Linked DNA regions of Arabidopsis thaliana. The protein of the gene in region 2 interacts with the protein of the main gene of each other region in a pairwise test. Each region holds a gene or a part of one and is shown on either strand. Other genes may lie near its edges.

Region 1 (5,098 bases), on a different chromosome or scaffold from region 2:
CATGCTTTTGGCCCAAAATAAATTCATTTTTTGTACTTGAAGTCAAAACTCAAACCTCATGCCAAAGCAATAAAAAGAAGAGACTCTACAACGAAATGATATATTATATTTTCCTCTGTTTCAATTCAGACTATTTTTTTTCGATCGTGGTAGAAAACATTCTGACGGTTTGAACATGTAAACGTTTGAGGTCGTTGGTATATATGGAAATGGTTTATATCTTATATGTTTTCTCGGTCCTTGCTGTTTATTTTTGTGCTTATAAGATAAATTAAGATCATGTTATTTCGTTTATAGTAGTAGGTCATAGTAGAGGTATACCATACAAATTCACTCTACAAAACTCTTAACCACCTAAAATGATCCTGACTAGGTGTTCTAAACGTTAGATGCTACTCTAAGCCCCTGCTGCATATATAGTGATTTTCTTGAACACTACTAGGAAGATTTATATGAGATCTTACCGCTGACCACATTGGCGATTGACAATAAATTTCTTCAGTATGTGAGTATATAAAACGGTGAAATTAAGCCTGCTTAAGTGTTACATTCCTGTGTTGTGTAGATTTAGAAACTTAAGCATAACGAGTTTTAAACAAACTCTTTGGCCTAAATGATCATCATTGACGACATTTGTTAGACCAGACCGGTTCTGTGATAGAAAATTTAAGGATATAACTTTATAAACCAAAAAAAAAAAAACATGATAACATGAGTGTGCTTATGGGTGGTTTGTAGTAGGTAAAGACAGAAAACCAAAGTGTACGCAAATACGGTGTCGTATCCGAAAACACGACCTTATTCTTTCTAAACTTTGACCAAAACCACCTATCCCACTTGTCTTTGTCTTCTAAACTTTTTTCTCTCTTTCCCACCCAAAAAAGGGAAAATGAAATGGACAAATGGCCGTTATCACGGCTTGGAAACGGAGGGAGCGTCTTTAACGGTGACCAACGATGAGCCATTACCGTTAGCAACTATTGTAGTGGATAGGTTAGGAGACAAAGGAACGCCGGTATCTTTAACGAAGGGGCTACGAGAAGGACACGTGGCGGTGGAGATGGTGGTGGCTAACGAGATGGGCATGAGGCAAAGACCTTTGCCTTGTAGATATTGCATGGCTGATCCCATGTCCTCTTCCATTAGCTTTGCAACTTGGTGCTCCGTCATCTTCGCCTCGCCGGAGGAGGAGGTGTTTTCGTGGGATCCACCGGCATCCTGAAAATGTTCAATAAAATTAAAAAGAAAACAAGAAAAGCAAAACCCTAAAGCTATGATGATGTTGAAATGGGAGGTTTTGGTATTTGTTGGAGAGAAAGTAGGCACGCGTGCCCTGTCCTTGTTTTGTTTTTTTTACTATTTTTTGGAAAACTTTTTCATTTGTTTTTAGAAAGTCGAAAACAAAACTACTTTTTAATTAGTATTATTCCCTAACTAAAACCTTTTCAATAATTTACATCTCTTTTTAATTAGTTTAAAAAATAAAATCTCATTCTATATAGTGATCACGTCATCCTATCATCCCTTTTAAGAGAGAAGGAATTGAAATTATTACCTCAGAGATTTGAGAAGAAGCAGAAGCAGCACCGCCCAGTCTACTCATGCTTAGTACCTGCATACATAAATTTGCCAAATATTATAATTAAGCAAAAGAAGAGGTAGATATACACTAACACTATGTTTTAACAAACGCAAAAGATAAATAATTTACAAGATAAAAGGGAAAGGGAGCATATGGAATTTTAGTTGCAGAGGCCCATATTCGATTTCTTATTCTAATGTCAACTCAAAGGTAAAGAAGCTTCCACTCTTATAACAAAAACAAATTTAAAATTCTCATATCTTATAAAATAATTCGAGAGAGAGAGAGAGAGAGATTCACCTTGACTTGGAGCTGTAAGAACTTGACATAATCGATAATCTCATCGAGCATTGATGCTTTGTCTGTCTGTTAATTATTATTTTTAACAATAAAAAAAACCTTGTTAGCAATTCTGCATCTGTTTATTAAGTATTATTATCAATTAAATTTTAGAATTAATTAGCTAATCAGTGTTTAATCATTTGACTGCATAAAAGTCCAAATCTCTAGATAACCTACTAAACTAGTAGCAATTTGTGGTCCAAGACTAAAATACATCAGTGTAACTCATATACTTAACACATTATTCATTTTGAGATATATACTATTAAAGAAATGTAAAATACAAATTGGATTATTTGAATCTACTCTTTTAATTATATCAACTTTGATGATCGAAATTTAGACTAATGAAGATAATTAAAATTTACCTTGTTACCATTAGGGACAAGTTCTTGAAGAGATTTCATTCTTTCCGCTATCCTCTCTCTCCGTAACTGTTCCATAATTTCAAAATATTTCAATAATCACCTTAATCATCTAAATAACTTTATACGTTTTTCTCGGTAACTGAAAAGCGAATAATGAGGAAAAGTTAAATAAAAAAATCGAACCCGTTCGGCGATACTGTGAGGATCAGTGGCTTGACCTCTCCTAGCTCGGACTTTAGGCTTTGTCTGAGGTTGCGCCGTTGCACCACCGGTGGTGGCTGACGCCGTCGCCTGCGACTGCGTTTGCGTTTGACCTCCCGATCCCTAAAATATATATCAGAAAACATTAAATTAAGACTTAACAAAAGAACATGTAATGAATGTTTTCTCTTTTGTAGTAATTTGCAAAATGAGAGAGAAAAAGTGGATTATCAGTTATACTTGAGGGAGGTGGAAAGGGAGAGATCCGGTGGAGAAGCCATTGAAGAGAGCGTCATTAGGATGGTTATGTGACAAAGGAATCATAGTGATCTGGTTTCTTGAATCGGCGTCGTGGTGGTGGAATCCAGTGACGGGGGCACAATCGGAAGTTGGTGGAGGAGTGTCGTCGAGAACGGATGAGGGCCAAGGAGTGGAGGAGAAGATGTGGTGGAGGAAATCATCGTGGTCGAATGTTGCAGGAGATTGAAGATGTGGAGAAGGAGATGATGAAGGAGTTAGAAGAGACGAGGAGTTCATGGCTTCTGTTTTTTTTTTTTTTGGTGGGGAGTGAGAATGAAAATGAATGTTGTTGAAATGTCTTTTGAGGTTTAAGGCTTTATGGTGTTTAAAAGAGGGATGGAGATTGTAATATTTGAGATTTGAAGGGTTTGACTTTGACATGTTAAATACGTTTACCAAATTTACCATTTTTTTTATCATCCTTGCAAATTAATTATTTCGTGTTATTTTCATAATTTCTTGATTTTTTTAATCACTAAAAGAATTCGATCACTGAAGTCATGATTTCTTCAATTTTATAATCCTTTGTTGATAATATACTTTTCACAATTTTGTAGTAACTACAAAAAGTAAGTGAAACATATATTTCTAAAAATATCATAGTCGATCGAATGACAGGCTTAAAGTAATAAAACTAACTTAAAATTCGGTTGTACTAAAAAAAAAAAAAAAAAAAAAAAATTCGGTTGTACTAACTTCACTCAAATGATTTACGTATGTTTAATTATCTTTTTTTTTTTATTTAAGACAGAATGTGGTTCTAATACCGTATATTATTAAATTTCTATATATATAACATAGGTTTTTCTATTAATCATTTTTGAAAACTCATGTTTAAGATAATTGTATAAGATTTTCATTCGGTAACATTAAAATTGGTTTATTTGAATGCTGAATAAAATTCTTTGGATTTATGTTAAGGATGCCAACTACAAAAATAAAATAAAATACAAATCTCTATTGTTGATCTTTTTTATTAAAATCAGTCGGAGTTTTAAACTTGTCCCGGCAACTACGTACCACGAGATAAATATTTGCTAGTCCAAAAATGCAATAGTCTACAAGATAACACCAGAGCCAACACTTTTTCTTGTGACAACTATTTTAGACATATAATATTTAGACATGCAGTATAAATGCATACAATTATACTCTATTCATTTGGGTACATTCATTCATTCATCAACGGTTCATGATAATGTTCTCTTCATATATTACTGTTTACAATTTGTCCCCAAGATTACAAACATGCTATCCCTTTAGACGATACTCGTGTTCGATAAGAATAAGATCACTTTTTATAGATTATTCTTGTTTTGTTTTCTGATTAATATGATACCGATCGATGAAATTGTTGTTTTAACCGATCTGATTAACATTTGGGAAAGAGGATCCTCTCAAACGAGAACATAACATAACAGAACATCGTCATCATCATCATGTCATGTTACCATGTATTTTTTATACTTGTTAAATATTTTTTGGTCTAATAAATTCATCATTTACCTTAAAAATTCTTTTTTACCATCGTATACAGTTTTTCAGCTGTTTGATAGTATTTGATTAAGATTAATATTAAATTGACAAAGATAAGTAAAGAACATTATTATGCAATATGCATGATTAAGCACATGGGACATTCTGAGTTTTGCACAAACTCACAAGAGGTAGAGATCGGCTTTAATACACTTCCCATTTATTAATTACAAATGTTGGTAAGCATTGATGTACTACACAACAGAAAGAGAGATCTATCATCTCATGTATTAGTATTATCAAGAGAATGCAATAATTATTTTTGTTTTTACTTAATAATCATAATGTATACCAAAATAATTAACTAAGGGGGTGTAAAATAAGTTACGAATGATAATTTAAATTCCATATAGAAAAAATAAACAGATAGTAAAGACAAAAATGCTACTATGTTAAATAAACTATTGGTCCCATCTAGTATACTGATACATTAGTTTTATTTCATATTATCAGTAGTTTTTTCTATTGTTTATATAAAACAATACGTTTACAATAGGAAGGCAGGAAAATAAACCATATGGTGCACAACCATTGTAGACTCAATCCTGACAAAACCCAATAAATTTGAGGAACTCCCTCAAAAATTACGGCTTTGTTCAAATTGAAAAACTGGCTCTTACGATCTTAGTTTGGTACACAATCACGTCTGATTTCCCAAGTTCTACTTATTCACCTATAATGAACTATAAATATAATCTGTAAATATCAAAAGGTGGGCTTAACTAGGCCTTGGGAAAATATTGAATTATTTAACCTTGTATGAATCTGA
Region 2 (4,306 bases):
CGTGTTTACTTATTCGTGTTGTTGCCAATGCCATGAGGTGTTTGCTCGATTCAGCGAATAGATATCAACATTTTGATCTTCAGATTCACTAAACCAAAAGCGCGCTACAAAGATAATCCTACCTATTTTAAAGGAGTCTAAAACATGCATATAGTATCTTGAAATCCTTAATTTGACTTTGTTATTCCCTTGAAAACTGAAAATTTTGACTTTGTTGCAGATATACTTTGATTGTATCATTAAGAATATAAGTGGATTAATTACAATACTTTGTTATTCCCAAGTATTGTTCATTCACTACCTCATTTTGCAACTAGATTAATCATATCTTTATGCTCTTTTCTACAAACCAAAATGCTATAGTAATTTTCAAAATAGTTTTGCCATGGCCTGTACGTGGGTAGCTAGCCAAATCTCTACGTTTGTGTTACGATACGACAACGTTAACGAACTTAGTGAATGCACTACGTTACCGTATTGCCTTGCAACATGGAAGCAGTGTTTTTTTGTCCTTTTCATACATCAAATTAAGGACAAGACCTTGAGTTTTATATACATACATTCACACCATCTCTTTATCAACAATTTAGAACACTCATTACATAATAAAGTGAAAATCCCGTTACAAACTCTAAGAGAAAAAAGGTGAATAAACAAACTTATAAACAAATTAGCGGAGTTTATTTGCTGTGATTTAAACATTAATTTAAAACGAAGAAGGGAAAGAAGAAGATAAGGCAGATGATCCCAAATTCATTGATGGGTCTTGGTTTCCAACAAGAGATGAACCTTCCACGTTTATATTAAGGTTGTCCCAAAAGAAAAAGTTAGAGCATTGTTGTGAATCGTCCCATTGATCATAGCTTAGTTCTTGCCTCTTTAAACATTCGAATGTGGACGCCATTTCTCCATCTTGGACATTGCTGTTTTCATTATGGACGATGTTATCGACATTTCCCTCTATTAGCGCCGGTAGATTATAACTTATAACCGTGTCAATATTTGAATTGGAAGAGTTGTTGAACACATGTGACGCCAGTGTAGGAACTTGAAACGGCTCTTGCTGACGAAGATTCATATCCCATTCTTCCGTGTTAGTTGTTAGAAATGCTTGTTCACAAACATTTTCTCTTCCTCCTCTTTGCGTGTCATCATGATCATTGTTCTTGTTATTGTTTGTGATGATGTTTTCAGAGAACATTCCTTCTAGGATAGGAAGTGTTGTGTCTACCATGAAGAGAGGAGGTTTATGGGAGAAAAAAGTTTCTTGAATCTTTATATTAGTTTCTTGATCATTGGTGAAATTTAATTGGTTAGGAGAATCAGTGAAACCGTCAAAATGTAAGTTATCGATAGTCGATGTTGTGGTGGTAGAGGCCTCGATGGTAGTGGCAATCGATGTAGTGTCCGCATTCAATGTCACAGTAGTTACTGACGGTTGATGACGACTGTAATGATGGTGCGGTTTTCGTATCTTTTTCTTAATCCATGAATTCCAATAGTTTTTAATCTCGTTATCTGTTCTTCCCGGTAAATGACTAGCTATATGAGCCCACCTGAAAAAAACAAAAAACATAAGTTTAATAAGAAAATATGTATGTATCACATTTTGAGAATGTTCAATGAAGTAACTTAAAGTGTACTACTTAATAGCTCGACCAAGTAGACAAAAGTAAACGAGCTAGATGAATGAAACTACACGTTAAAGATTCTTTGGTCATCGACAGTAGGCTAGTCGTTGCTTCAAACCGTGGCCAAACTAAACATATAATTGTTTAAATTTAAAATATAACATGATAAACTGAATATAAGTATAAAATGTACTATGTATGTATCCCAACCCAACAAACTTATTATTGAAAATGGTATCAGTATTGAAAATCTTATAAGACTTCCTGTAGCGGTCTATAATAATACACTATCTTGAATTGATAATATATAAAAATTTAAGTCGAGTTAGTAAAAATGGAGACCTGTTTCCCACAACTCCATGAAGGCTTATGATCAATTTCTCTTCTTCTGGAGAGAACCTTCCTCTCCTGATATCAGGTCGAAGATAGTTTATCCATCGCAATCTACAACTTTTTCCACATCTTTGAAGCCCTAAATTTGATCAAACATGCATTTTAAAATTAGTTACATTAACTATATATGTTAATTAGCGCAAGATCGTTATAATTGGTTAGAGAAAAAAATATGTTACTTGAAAACTAATATACAAGTAAGATCACCTGCTTTTTCAGGGACTTCACTCCAACATCCATAGCCATGAGTTGTGATATATCTAATAAGCTTCTCATCTTCTTCCGGTGACCAAAGCCCTCTCTTCACCTTTTGCTGGTTGCAGCATGAGTGATGACCCATGATTAGTAGCTCCTCAAAGTAACTTAAATATAGTGAACCACTTAATCACAATCTTAAATTAATTTTTATATAAGTATATCACCCTTTAGGTTTTTACTCTCTCTCTCTCTCTCTATCTATCTTCTTTAATTTCTTGAGTTATGTTATAGAAGAGAGAAGACAAAGAAGCAATGGAGAGTTTTTAAAAGGAGAGGAGACAAAGGTCGGGTCGGGTCGGGTCGGGTCGGGTCCCAGGGGTGGGGCCTGAGATATTTCTTCATCGATCTAACCTTAAAACGATGTCTCATCGACTTTCTATTTTCATGTGTTATTACTCGTTGTACGTAGAGAGGTTTTGTTGTAGTATTATTACGTTAAGCCCTTATCACTTTTATGTGTTTTTCTCTTCACGTACCCTTCTGTCTCCCGCGAAAGTTCCTGTTTTCTTTGTTTCTTATATTCTATAAAACCAAATGATTTTAAGACGAAAACTAGAGATTGATTCGTAGAACTAATCGTCACATATGTATCAACTAATCATGAGTATATAATATATATAGACTCGCTGCACATGAGTATCAACTAATCATGTATTATCCACTGTTTTCCTCTATTTCTATCTCTCTCTATATACTGTATTCAGTAAATTAATTTTCATAGTAACGCAAATTATTTATTTTATTATAATAATTCGAGGTTGACCTATTATTTTATAAAAAGATTTTTCAAAATGAAAAATTCAGATACATTATATATTGGCTCAAAAAGAGTCATTTCGTCTAACATGTATAATTAAACTAACTGAATTCTGAAAATATTTAAACTTAGAAGTCGGACCAATAACTAATTAATGATCACATACAACAATTTGTAATCACATACTAAAACGCTTTCCATTTATCGTAACACACTTAATAAAGCAGTACTACTTTTTTTCCTGTGGCCTGTGGGTACTGAGTAGTACTAGTACTTGATGGCCGCAAACCAAAGGAAAATATGAAGCCAAATTTAATACAATATCCTTCCATCTTTCTAATAATTTCCGAAGCCCTATCTTCTTCTTTTTTGTTTGTAAAAAGTAATTAATGATTCCGAAGCCCTATCAAAGATGGAAATTTTGTGTCTTTTAGATTTTTTTTTTTTTGAATTTATTGCTTATAATTATGTTAACAACAACGAACAATAAAAAATTCTAATAAAAGTAGATAGAACTTGTGGATTCTATATTTCTATAGATAGAAAAGAACTTGTGGAATCCATACACAAGGAGTGTATTTGAAGTTGATATAGTATTGTTTTCAACGTGAAATAATTGATTAAGTCATGTAGCCGAATTATACAGTGATTTTTGTAATTTAAATAAAATCCAATTATATTAAGTACGTCCAATACCGAAGCTTTCTTCAAAGATATATAGAATAACAATCATTACAAGTTTCAATTACAAGGCTTTGATTTAGTTAGGAGACATATCGGAAAACCTTACCGAGAATGAAATCGCTTCGTTTATAAATTTTCTCCTTTTAATTTATTTTCGTATTGAAATCTTGTAAAGATAGTCATGCAATACTATATATACAATAATCAATTATAATCATATATGTAATATGTCACATCAGGTTTGTTCTTTTTGACAGGCCTTTGTTCGTTCTAACAGAAAAATGTTTATTTGTTCCAATCTATATAAAAAATGTTTATCACATTATATTTACCTTACCTGCACCTATAACACTAGTTCTGTTTGTTCGTTCTAACAGAGCAACAACAATCTCGTATTCTTTCCAATCTATATAAAAAATGTTTATCACATTATATTTACATACCTGCACCTATAACACTAGTTCTGTGTTTGTTATTCAATATATTAAATAAATATCATATATATCACCGTATATAGCATGCTCAATTTCTCCCTATAACAAATATGGATGATTGGAATCATCAATTTTGTTGTCAAAATAGA
Region 3 (3,566 bases), on a different chromosome or scaffold from region 2:
GAGGTTGTCGGAGAGCCATGAACGTGCGTTGGAAAGCTTGGAAAGAGAAATGATATCGGAGTTTGGGACGGTGACGGTGAGGGAGATTCCTGTAATGCCGGAAAATGCGGCGAGGATGTCGTGGTTTGTGTCGAAGATTTTGACGTGGTTGATTATTGTTTTTGTTTTGATGAAGTTGACGACTTGGTGAGGCGGTGGGAGGTTGTTGGCCACGGTGCCGTAGTTTACGCCGACTTGATATGCAGCGGAGAAGGGAAGGATGAGAGTGAGAATTAGGAAGTAAAGTTGATGAACAACTCTAGATCCCAACATGATCGTGAATGAGTTTATTTTATGACTTCCACGTTTAGCAAAACTTACTAGGAGTTGTTTTTTGGGAGCATGATCGTGTTCGGTTTGATTGTGGAGACGTGAGCGAGTGGCTCCCAAAAAATCACTCACTCCTAGTAAGTTTTGCTAAACGTGGAAGTTTTGCTAAACGTGGAAGTTTTGCTACATAATGTAATAATCATAAATTAATAACATTTGATAATTGAAACCATTAATAAGGATGTAAATAGTTGCAAATTAATTGTATTTGGGGGTGATTGGGAAGGGACTCTCAGACCATCCTCATCGGACAAATTTAAAAGGTGTCTTCAAATTTTAACAGAATAAAAAAAATAGGAAGATGAGAATTAATGCGCTGAATAGGAGTGACATGATGACTTTAATGTCTGTGGAAAAACATTTTTTGATACGGGAAAACACGAATGTGTCACCATGCTATTGGTTGGTGTTATTGTTTTTTATTTTTTCTCTTCATTTGACCAACAATTTTCTCTCTGTTCATTTTATCAATAAATTTCTCTCTCTTCATTTGGCAGTTAAGACATCCAATATACTGATCACCGATGTGGATGCTCTCATAGCTTTAAAGGTGTTTTAAAGTCCTCACAGTTTTTATTTTAACAGTCATGCTTTCTTGACTTTATTTTTTTTTAAAGTTCTCAAAGCCTTGTTTTTATTTGTTCTTTGTTTCCTTTTTTTTTTTAAAGTCACGATTACATGGCTTTCAAACAAATAAATATTAAAACTTTTCTTTTTCTTCTCCCATGATAATTAAAAACTTTCTACAATTTTATATATATTTTTTCACAAATCATTTTTGATTAATTAATTATTATTAATTTTATATTTTCTTTTAAGATCCAATTTACTAATAAATAATTTATTTATTACATGTGCAGTTTATTTGTTGAGAATATTTATTTAAGAATATTTTTTGTATTTTAATTTTATATTATTAATAAAATATATTTGTGTCACTATGTTGAAACATAATTCAATTTTAACATAATTTTATTTACAAAAATATATTTAATAATAGTAAAAATAGTACTCAAGCTTTTACAACTTTATATTACCAATCAGAATTTAACATCTAAAATCTCAACAGTTAAGTCTCTACATCCAAATTTTCTATGGTAAAAGTTTTTAAAGCCAAAACATTTACCGTCATCCTTACCGATCGGCCCATAGTTGTTCAAATAATTTATATCAGTTACACACATTTCGATTTTGATTTCGGTTACAAATATTTTATCCACTCTAATTCACAACAAGAAATTAATTTACCTTAATGGGCCCAAAAGCCCAAAAACTGCAACGTGGCTAATTAAGCCATTCCTCGAGCTCAAACTTTAAAACAGAAACAAAACTTCTAACTTACAAATTGTACTTCTGTCTTTTACTCTGTCTGATTCAGTCAAAAAGAAAGGAATATTAAAATCTCTCAATTTTATATACACTCACTCAATCATACCTTTCTCTGGAGACCTCCACAGGGTTTGTTTCCGGAAATGTCGAACGGCACGGATCAGGCTCAACCACCACCGGAGAACCCGGCTACTCCGGTGGATTCGAAGTCACGGAAACGTGCGACGCCAGGGGATGATAATTGGCTTCCTCCTGATTGGAGAACCGAAATTAGGGTTCGAACCTCTGGCACTAAAGCTGGTACTGTTGATAAGGTGAAAAAATCTCAGCCCTTTCAATTCCTTCGCAGATAGAATCGTCCGTACAAATGGAAATGTTATGTTGTTTGTTGATTTGAATTGGAACTTTTTCTTAGTATTTATGAAATTGGGTATTGAAGTTAGGTTATGATGATCTTATTGGTTTATATTTTAAGGTATTTGGAGACTTTATAACTAGTCTTTAAGTGTAACGTTGCTGTATGTATGCTTGTTGGATGAAGATTGCTCTGTTTAGGATGTTGTAGGTGTGAATATGATAATGCAGTGCTTGATGATGTCTTGTATTTGTAATGTAGTTCTACTACGAACCGATTACGGGTCGTAAGTTCCGGTCCAAGAACGAGGTTTTGTACTATTTGGAACACGGGACGCCTAAAAAGAAGTCCGTCAAGACAGCGGAAAACGGAGACTCACATTCCGAAGTGAGTTTGTTAGTAGACATTACCTTAAGGTTTAAACCCGTGTTTTACCTGAACTGTTGTTGTTTTTGCACATTTTTGTAGCATTCTGAAGGTAGAGGAAGCGCTAGGCGGCAGACAAAATCCAACAAAAAGGTTACTGAGCCACCGCCAAAGCCGTTGAACTTCGATTTTCTGAATGTGCCGGAGAAGGTTACTTGGACTGGGATAAACGGTTCAGAAGAAGCTTGGTTGCCTTTCATTGGGGACTACAAGATTCAAGAATCTGTCAGCCAAGATTGGGACAGAGTATTCACTCTTGTCACCTCCCAAAACGCTGGAAAAACGATGTTCTAGAAGATTGCTGCAGAAACTCACAAATTGTAATAACACGCGCTGCTAGATTATCATATCTACTTAGTATTTACTGATCGTTGGTTGGAATGCAGGTTAATTTTTTAGTAGTGATAGTTTTAGTAACACTTTGATTTGAGTTGTAATGTACTTTCTTAACATTTTCTTAGATAATTTGAAGGCAATGTATGTCTATATTATTGCCTTTGAGAGAATCCGATAGTAACAAAGTTATGAAATCTAAAGTTCGATGTGCGGTACTTCTCTGCTCAGTTCTCTCTGCTTTAAATTGTGAATCATCAGTTATGCATAGGCTCTATCTATCTATGCTTCTCTGCCTTTGTCCTAAATGATATACGGAAGCATACTGACATAATTTGGAATAAGTTCAAGTTATAACAGAACAGTGTGAAAATATGAACCAAAGCGTCTGTAGTCCAACGGTTAGGATAATTGCCTTCCAAGCAATAGACCCGGGTTCGACTCCCGGCAGACGCATTTTTAAATTTTGACATTTTACGCTCGTTGTTTATGAACAGTAAATATTTTCTTTAGATCTTTGTTTAAGAATTTTTTTTCTTTCTAAAATGGCTAAGAACATTGTCGTCAAAGACTATAATTCTTTTCTGTCTTATGCAGTGGATAAAAAAGGGGTTCTTATCGCACTTTTCAGTTATCGTTTGTTTCCTATCAGAAAACAAAATGGGAAAAATTCTCCACCTCAAAATTCGAGGAATTCTAACGGCGTGGAGATGAATAATTACCAAAAGTAACATATACACCCCCGTCGAAAATA
Region 4 (4,353 bases), on a different chromosome or scaffold from region 2:
AGACCTTTTAAAAGCCTATTTTCTTGCATTGGAAATTTAAAATAATTTATTTTATATATTAGAAAATAGTAAACAAGCAAATCATAGGGTACTCATTATCTAATTATCACACCCAGTCTTTCTCTCTGTGCTTGTTTTCACCTTTTTAACCACTAATCAGAATCTACGTTGTCATAAAAGTCTTCCAACTTTTTTACTCTTTTGTTGTTTCTTAAATTATTATTATTCTTGGGTAAAAAATCATTATTTATTAATTATTTTGGCCAAGTTACTGCATTTAACTTTTTGGGCACATCACCACAATACTCTCACAATTCCAACTATATAGAAATATAATCACTCTCTCTTTTTCATTTTTCTTTTGAATGTTTTCTTAGTATTAGATGAAAGTTGAGAATTCTAATCCTCACTCATCGAGAGTTGAGAATCAAATGAGTTAAATTGCATCTTTTCAGGATTGCTAGAAGGAAAAAAAAAAAAAAAAAAAGAGCATTCAAGAAAGAAAAAATTTAAGAAAACGGTAAGAAGACACACGAGTTTTACAAGTAATATGGCATTCGATGTGAGCAATTCCTATATCTCGACAAGATTGATAGTTGTTAAATTTCTTTCAACATATAATGTTATATTATATTCAAACATAAAGTAAGAAAAACTCAACGCTTTTGACTACAAGATTTAGTATATATAAATATGGGAAATTTGCATAAATAACTAACAAAAAAAACTATAATTCACTAACTAACCATCCTAACTATGTAATTATAATATTCTCTGTATTATATGTAATATTACTCAATTTGTCCTTGTTGCCTCAATACCTTCAGTAGCAACCACCACCGCTGGCCACCACCGCCGGTCACCACCGCCGGCCACCACTGCCTGCCACCACCGCCGGCCATCACCGCCAACTCCGACCACCATCTATTCCGGTCACCACCAACACCGGTCACCGTCACTGTCGGCCACCATCAAATCCGGCCACCACCGACTCCGGCCACCACTAACTTCGGCCACCACCACCGCCACCACCACTGTCGGCCATCACCACGCCGGCCACCACCACCACCGCCGGTCACCACCACCACCGCCACTGCCGGCCACCACCACCGCCGGCCACCACCACCACCGGCCACCACTACCACCGGCCACCACCACCACCGCCGGCCACTACCACCGCGGGCCACCACCATAGCAACCACCACACCGATCACCAACACTTCCGACCACCATCAACTCCATCCACCACCGCCGGCCACCACCGGCCACAACCATCACCACCACTACCATCTCCAATCAAAAAGACTAATTTAGTAATTTTACTACCCTCTAGTGTTAATTTCTACATTTTGTATATTATAGTGTTAGTTTCTTAAATAAATTATCAAAAACAGTTAGTTTTGCAATTCACCCTATAAATATTTCCTCACTTCTAGTTTTTTTTTTTTTTTGGTTATTACATTGGGACTAACATTTGGTAGTACTAGGAAAAGAGTGCAATAAGCGTTTTCAGAATAATAAGGTATTGTAGAGAATTGTTTTGTTGGAAAAAAAAACCATTTAATAATAAGAAAAAGACAATAGAATTTTGTTTAATACATTAATGAGATAATGACAACGATGGAGAAATATAATATTTTACCTCTTTTTTTTCTCCCTCAATAAAAGTGTTGTTTCTGCAGAGCTCTCTCTCTCTCTCTCGTTCTCTTTCCACACATTCTTTGATCTCCACTATTTAAGTAGACAAGAATCATAAAGAAAATAGTGAGATGATGATGTTAGAGTCAAGAAACAGTATGAGAGCTTCAAACTCAGTCCCAGATCTGTCTCTTCAGATCAGTCTTCCTAACTATCACGCCGGAAAACCTCTTCACGGCGGTGACCGGAGCTCCACAAGCAGTGATTCTGGAAGCAGCCTCAGTGACCTGAGCCATGAGAACAACTTCTTCAACAAACCTCTCTTGAGCTTAGGATTTGACCATCATCATCAAAGGCGCTCAAACATGTTCCAACCTCAAATCTACGGTCGAGATTTCAAGAGAAGCTCATCATCAATGGTTGGTCTTAAACGAAGCATTCGTGCTCCAAGAATGAGATGGACTTCTACTCTTCATGCTCACTTCGTCCATGCTGTTCAACTTCTTGGCGGCCATGAAAGTATGTATTGTCCTCTTACATTTTCCTATACTAATCAAAAAAAATTTTAAAAGAAAGACATAACCAATCGAGATTGGTATGTTAGTGTAACGTTTTGAAACCAAAGTATTAAGATTTGTCATGTATTGGTTTGTCTCAGGAGCAACGCCTAAATCAGTGTTGGAGCTCATGAATGTGAAGGATCTAACCCTAGCTCATGTCAAGAGTCACTTGCAGGTTCATTATTTTTTCTTCATTTTTTATATATAAATTAATGGAATCTCATACGAATTCAAACACATAAATGTAGATAGATATATAGGTATATGTAAATATGTATGAAATGTATATAATTGGGCCACTATCTAACGCATGATTGCATAGTTGAAATGAACTTAGCCAAACATTTCTTTTATTTTTTTTCGTCCTTTAATTTGTTTTTGATTTTTCAAGAATGTGTGATTGTTAATGCAGATGTATAGAACAGTGAAATGCACTGATAAAGGATCACCAGGTATGCATTCAAACTAGTTCACTGATTTTTACATTCTTATTAGATATAAATGTAAATAAAATTTCATTATTTATTAATTTTTAAAAGAAAATTTGTATTTTTGTTCTTGGGAATAAACAGGAGAAGGAAAGGTAGAGAAAGAGGCAGAGCAGAGGATAGAGGACAATAATAATAATGAAGAAGCTGATGAAGGAACTGACACAAATTCGCCAAACTCATCATCTGTGCAAAAGACCCAAAGGTTACTTTTTATTTATATATTTATTTTTGTAAAATTTTGCATTTAATCTCTTTTTGCCTTAGTTCTGTGTGAAATTTGATGAATATGACCCTCTCCTAGGGCTTATGTGAATGTACTTTTCCATCTCTCATTAAATTCGTTAAGGGTTGTTTTTGGTTTTAGTCTAATTAGAAATATAAGATATTTGAATTTTCTTTGTTAATTTGTATATGTACATTAATTGATGATAATATAGAAGTAGGTCCAAATACAACAATTTTGTCCAGCAATAGGAGTTATAAACAGATTTCTAAAATGTGTTTTATTATTAAAATTTGAACAGAGCTTCATGGTCATCGACAAAGGAAGTATCTAGGAGCATATCTACACAAGCATATTCTCACTTGGGAACAACTCATCACACTAAGGTACATTATTTATCCCTTATCTCTCATTAATTGCATGCTGACAATGGTAACAATGGTACACTTTTACTTATGTACTTATAATGTGTAATATTTTGAAAATAGGACAATGAAGAGAAAGAGGATACCAACATTCATCTCAATTTGGATTTCACATTGGGGCGGCCTAGTTGGGGGATGGAATATGCGGAACCCTCCAGTGATTTAACCCTTCTCAAGTGCTAATTGCCTTAAGCTACAACAAATAAGTCAGCTTAGGTTACCAGTTTTAACATAATTTTAACTTGTTTTGATCATATGAGCTTCGGAAGAATCATATTATCATCATATATGAACTTCTTTCCAAGAATGTTCTATGAGTTTTTTGATATGTATAATCAAGAGAATCGTTTGAAGTAGTAAGTATTGTTGTAGTGCGATGAGAAGGGAGTACAAGTTCAAGTAGAGATAACTTGTTTTTGTTTCAGTCTTCAAAAAAACATCTCAATCTTCCATTATCACACTTTAATATAAATTGGAAAAGATTCTCTGGTAACTAAAAAGTTTCTGCTGCCTCTTTCCTCTTTTGGTATGCTCCACTGCTCCCACTCTGGTTATATATGGAGAGTTTTTTTGTAACGTGGTCAATTCTTTTTTTTTTGCTTGTTACATAAAAGTAAAATCTATAGTTTTAGTAAATTATTTGCTTATATTGAATAATGGGTCAACACATATATTGCGAGATGTGTGGTAGAATATTATATCAATTTTTTTTTCTCAAAGAGAATATTATATCATGCTCATGGACTGCATATTTAAATTTTAATATATAAAAGAAGATATGATCTTTGGTCTTGATCGGTAGCTTTGTTACGTAAGGCCAATAGCGACCTTGACTTCCTTCAGAACGTCGGGTTTTGTTCCTCATGGACGCTTGTGCTCATCAAAGACCTTGGAGTAATAATCATAATGATTAAAATAATTAAAAGGTGAAATAATTATCTAGTGGCGAACATAAACTCATTTTGTTTTGTAACATCTTGAAAATGGAGTTTTGAATTCTCTAGTTTTCCTTAAAA

What was found.
Region 1: the proteins of AtMYB103 (region 2) and LRL2 interact in a two-hybrid assay, tested with the Arabidopsis thaliana proteins (one large-scale study listed by BioGRID).
Region 3: the proteins of AtMYB103 (region 2) and MBD5 interact in a two-hybrid assay, tested with the Arabidopsis thaliana proteins (one large-scale study listed by BioGRID).
Region 4: the proteins of AtMYB103 (region 2) and ATS interact in a two-hybrid assay, tested with the Arabidopsis thaliana proteins (one large-scale study listed by BioGRID).

The regions. Positions count from the first base shown.
Region 1 is NC_003075.7:15,078,577-15,083,674, forward strand, and holds LRL2 (LJRHL1-like 2), read right to left. Parts: upstream 3,200-5,098; 5' UTR 3,175-3,199; coding exon 2,734-3,174; intron 2,617-2,733; coding exon 2,476-2,616; intron 2,359-2,475; coding exon 2,293-2,358; intron 1,949-2,292; coding exon 1,883-1,948; intron 1,613-1,882; coding exon 1,556-1,612; intron 1,219-1,555; coding exon 913-1,218; 3' UTR 542-912; downstream 1-541. UniProt on the Arabidopsis thaliana protein: Transcription factor that regulates the development of root hairs. Transcription factor that regulates the development of sperm cells.
Region 2 is NC_003070.9:23,719,262-23,723,567, forward strand, and holds AtMYB103 (myb domain protein 103), read right to left. Parts: upstream 2,514-4,306; 5' UTR 2,365-2,513; coding exon 2,232-2,364; intron 2,104-2,231; coding exon 1,974-2,103; intron 1,557-1,973; coding exon 707-1,556; 3' UTR 522-706; downstream 1-521.
Region 3 is NC_003074.8:17,146,556-17,150,121, forward strand, and holds MBD5 (methyl-CPG-binding domain protein 5), read left to right. Parts: upstream 1-1,676; 5' UTR 1,677-1,841; coding exon 1,842-2,012; intron 2,013-2,314; coding exon 2,315-2,440; intron 2,441-2,521; coding exon 2,522-2,773; 3' UTR 2,774-3,042; downstream 3,043-3,566. Other genes in the region: AT3G46570 (Glycosyl hydrolase superfamily protein), read right to left, coding at 1-312. UniProt on the Arabidopsis thaliana protein: Transcriptional regulator that binds CpG islands in promoters where the DNA is methylated at position 5 of cytosine within CpG dinucleotides. In addition, binds specifically methylated m(5)CpNpN but not m(5)CpNpG (N is A, T or C).
Region 4 is NC_003076.8:17,073,164-17,077,516, reverse strand, and holds ATS (Homeodomain-like superfamily protein), read left to right. Parts: upstream 1-1,612; 5' UTR 1,613-1,769; coding exon 1,770-2,157; intron 2,158-2,296; coding exon 2,297-2,373; intron 2,374-2,610; coding exon 2,611-2,650; intron 2,651-2,770; coding exon 2,771-2,891; coding exon of another isoform or gene 2,892-2,937; exon of another isoform or gene 2,938-3,213; coding exon 3,214-3,298; intron 3,299-3,400; coding exon 3,401-3,520; 3' UTR 3,521-3,844; downstream 3,845-4,353. Other genes in the region: AT5G42635 (glycine-rich protein), read right to left, coding at 792-958, 1,049-1,138, 1,191-1,290. UniProt on the Arabidopsis thaliana protein: Probable transcription factor that regulates carpel integuments formation. Required for the specification of polarity in the ovule inner integument. Modulates the content of flavonols and proanthocyanidin in seeds.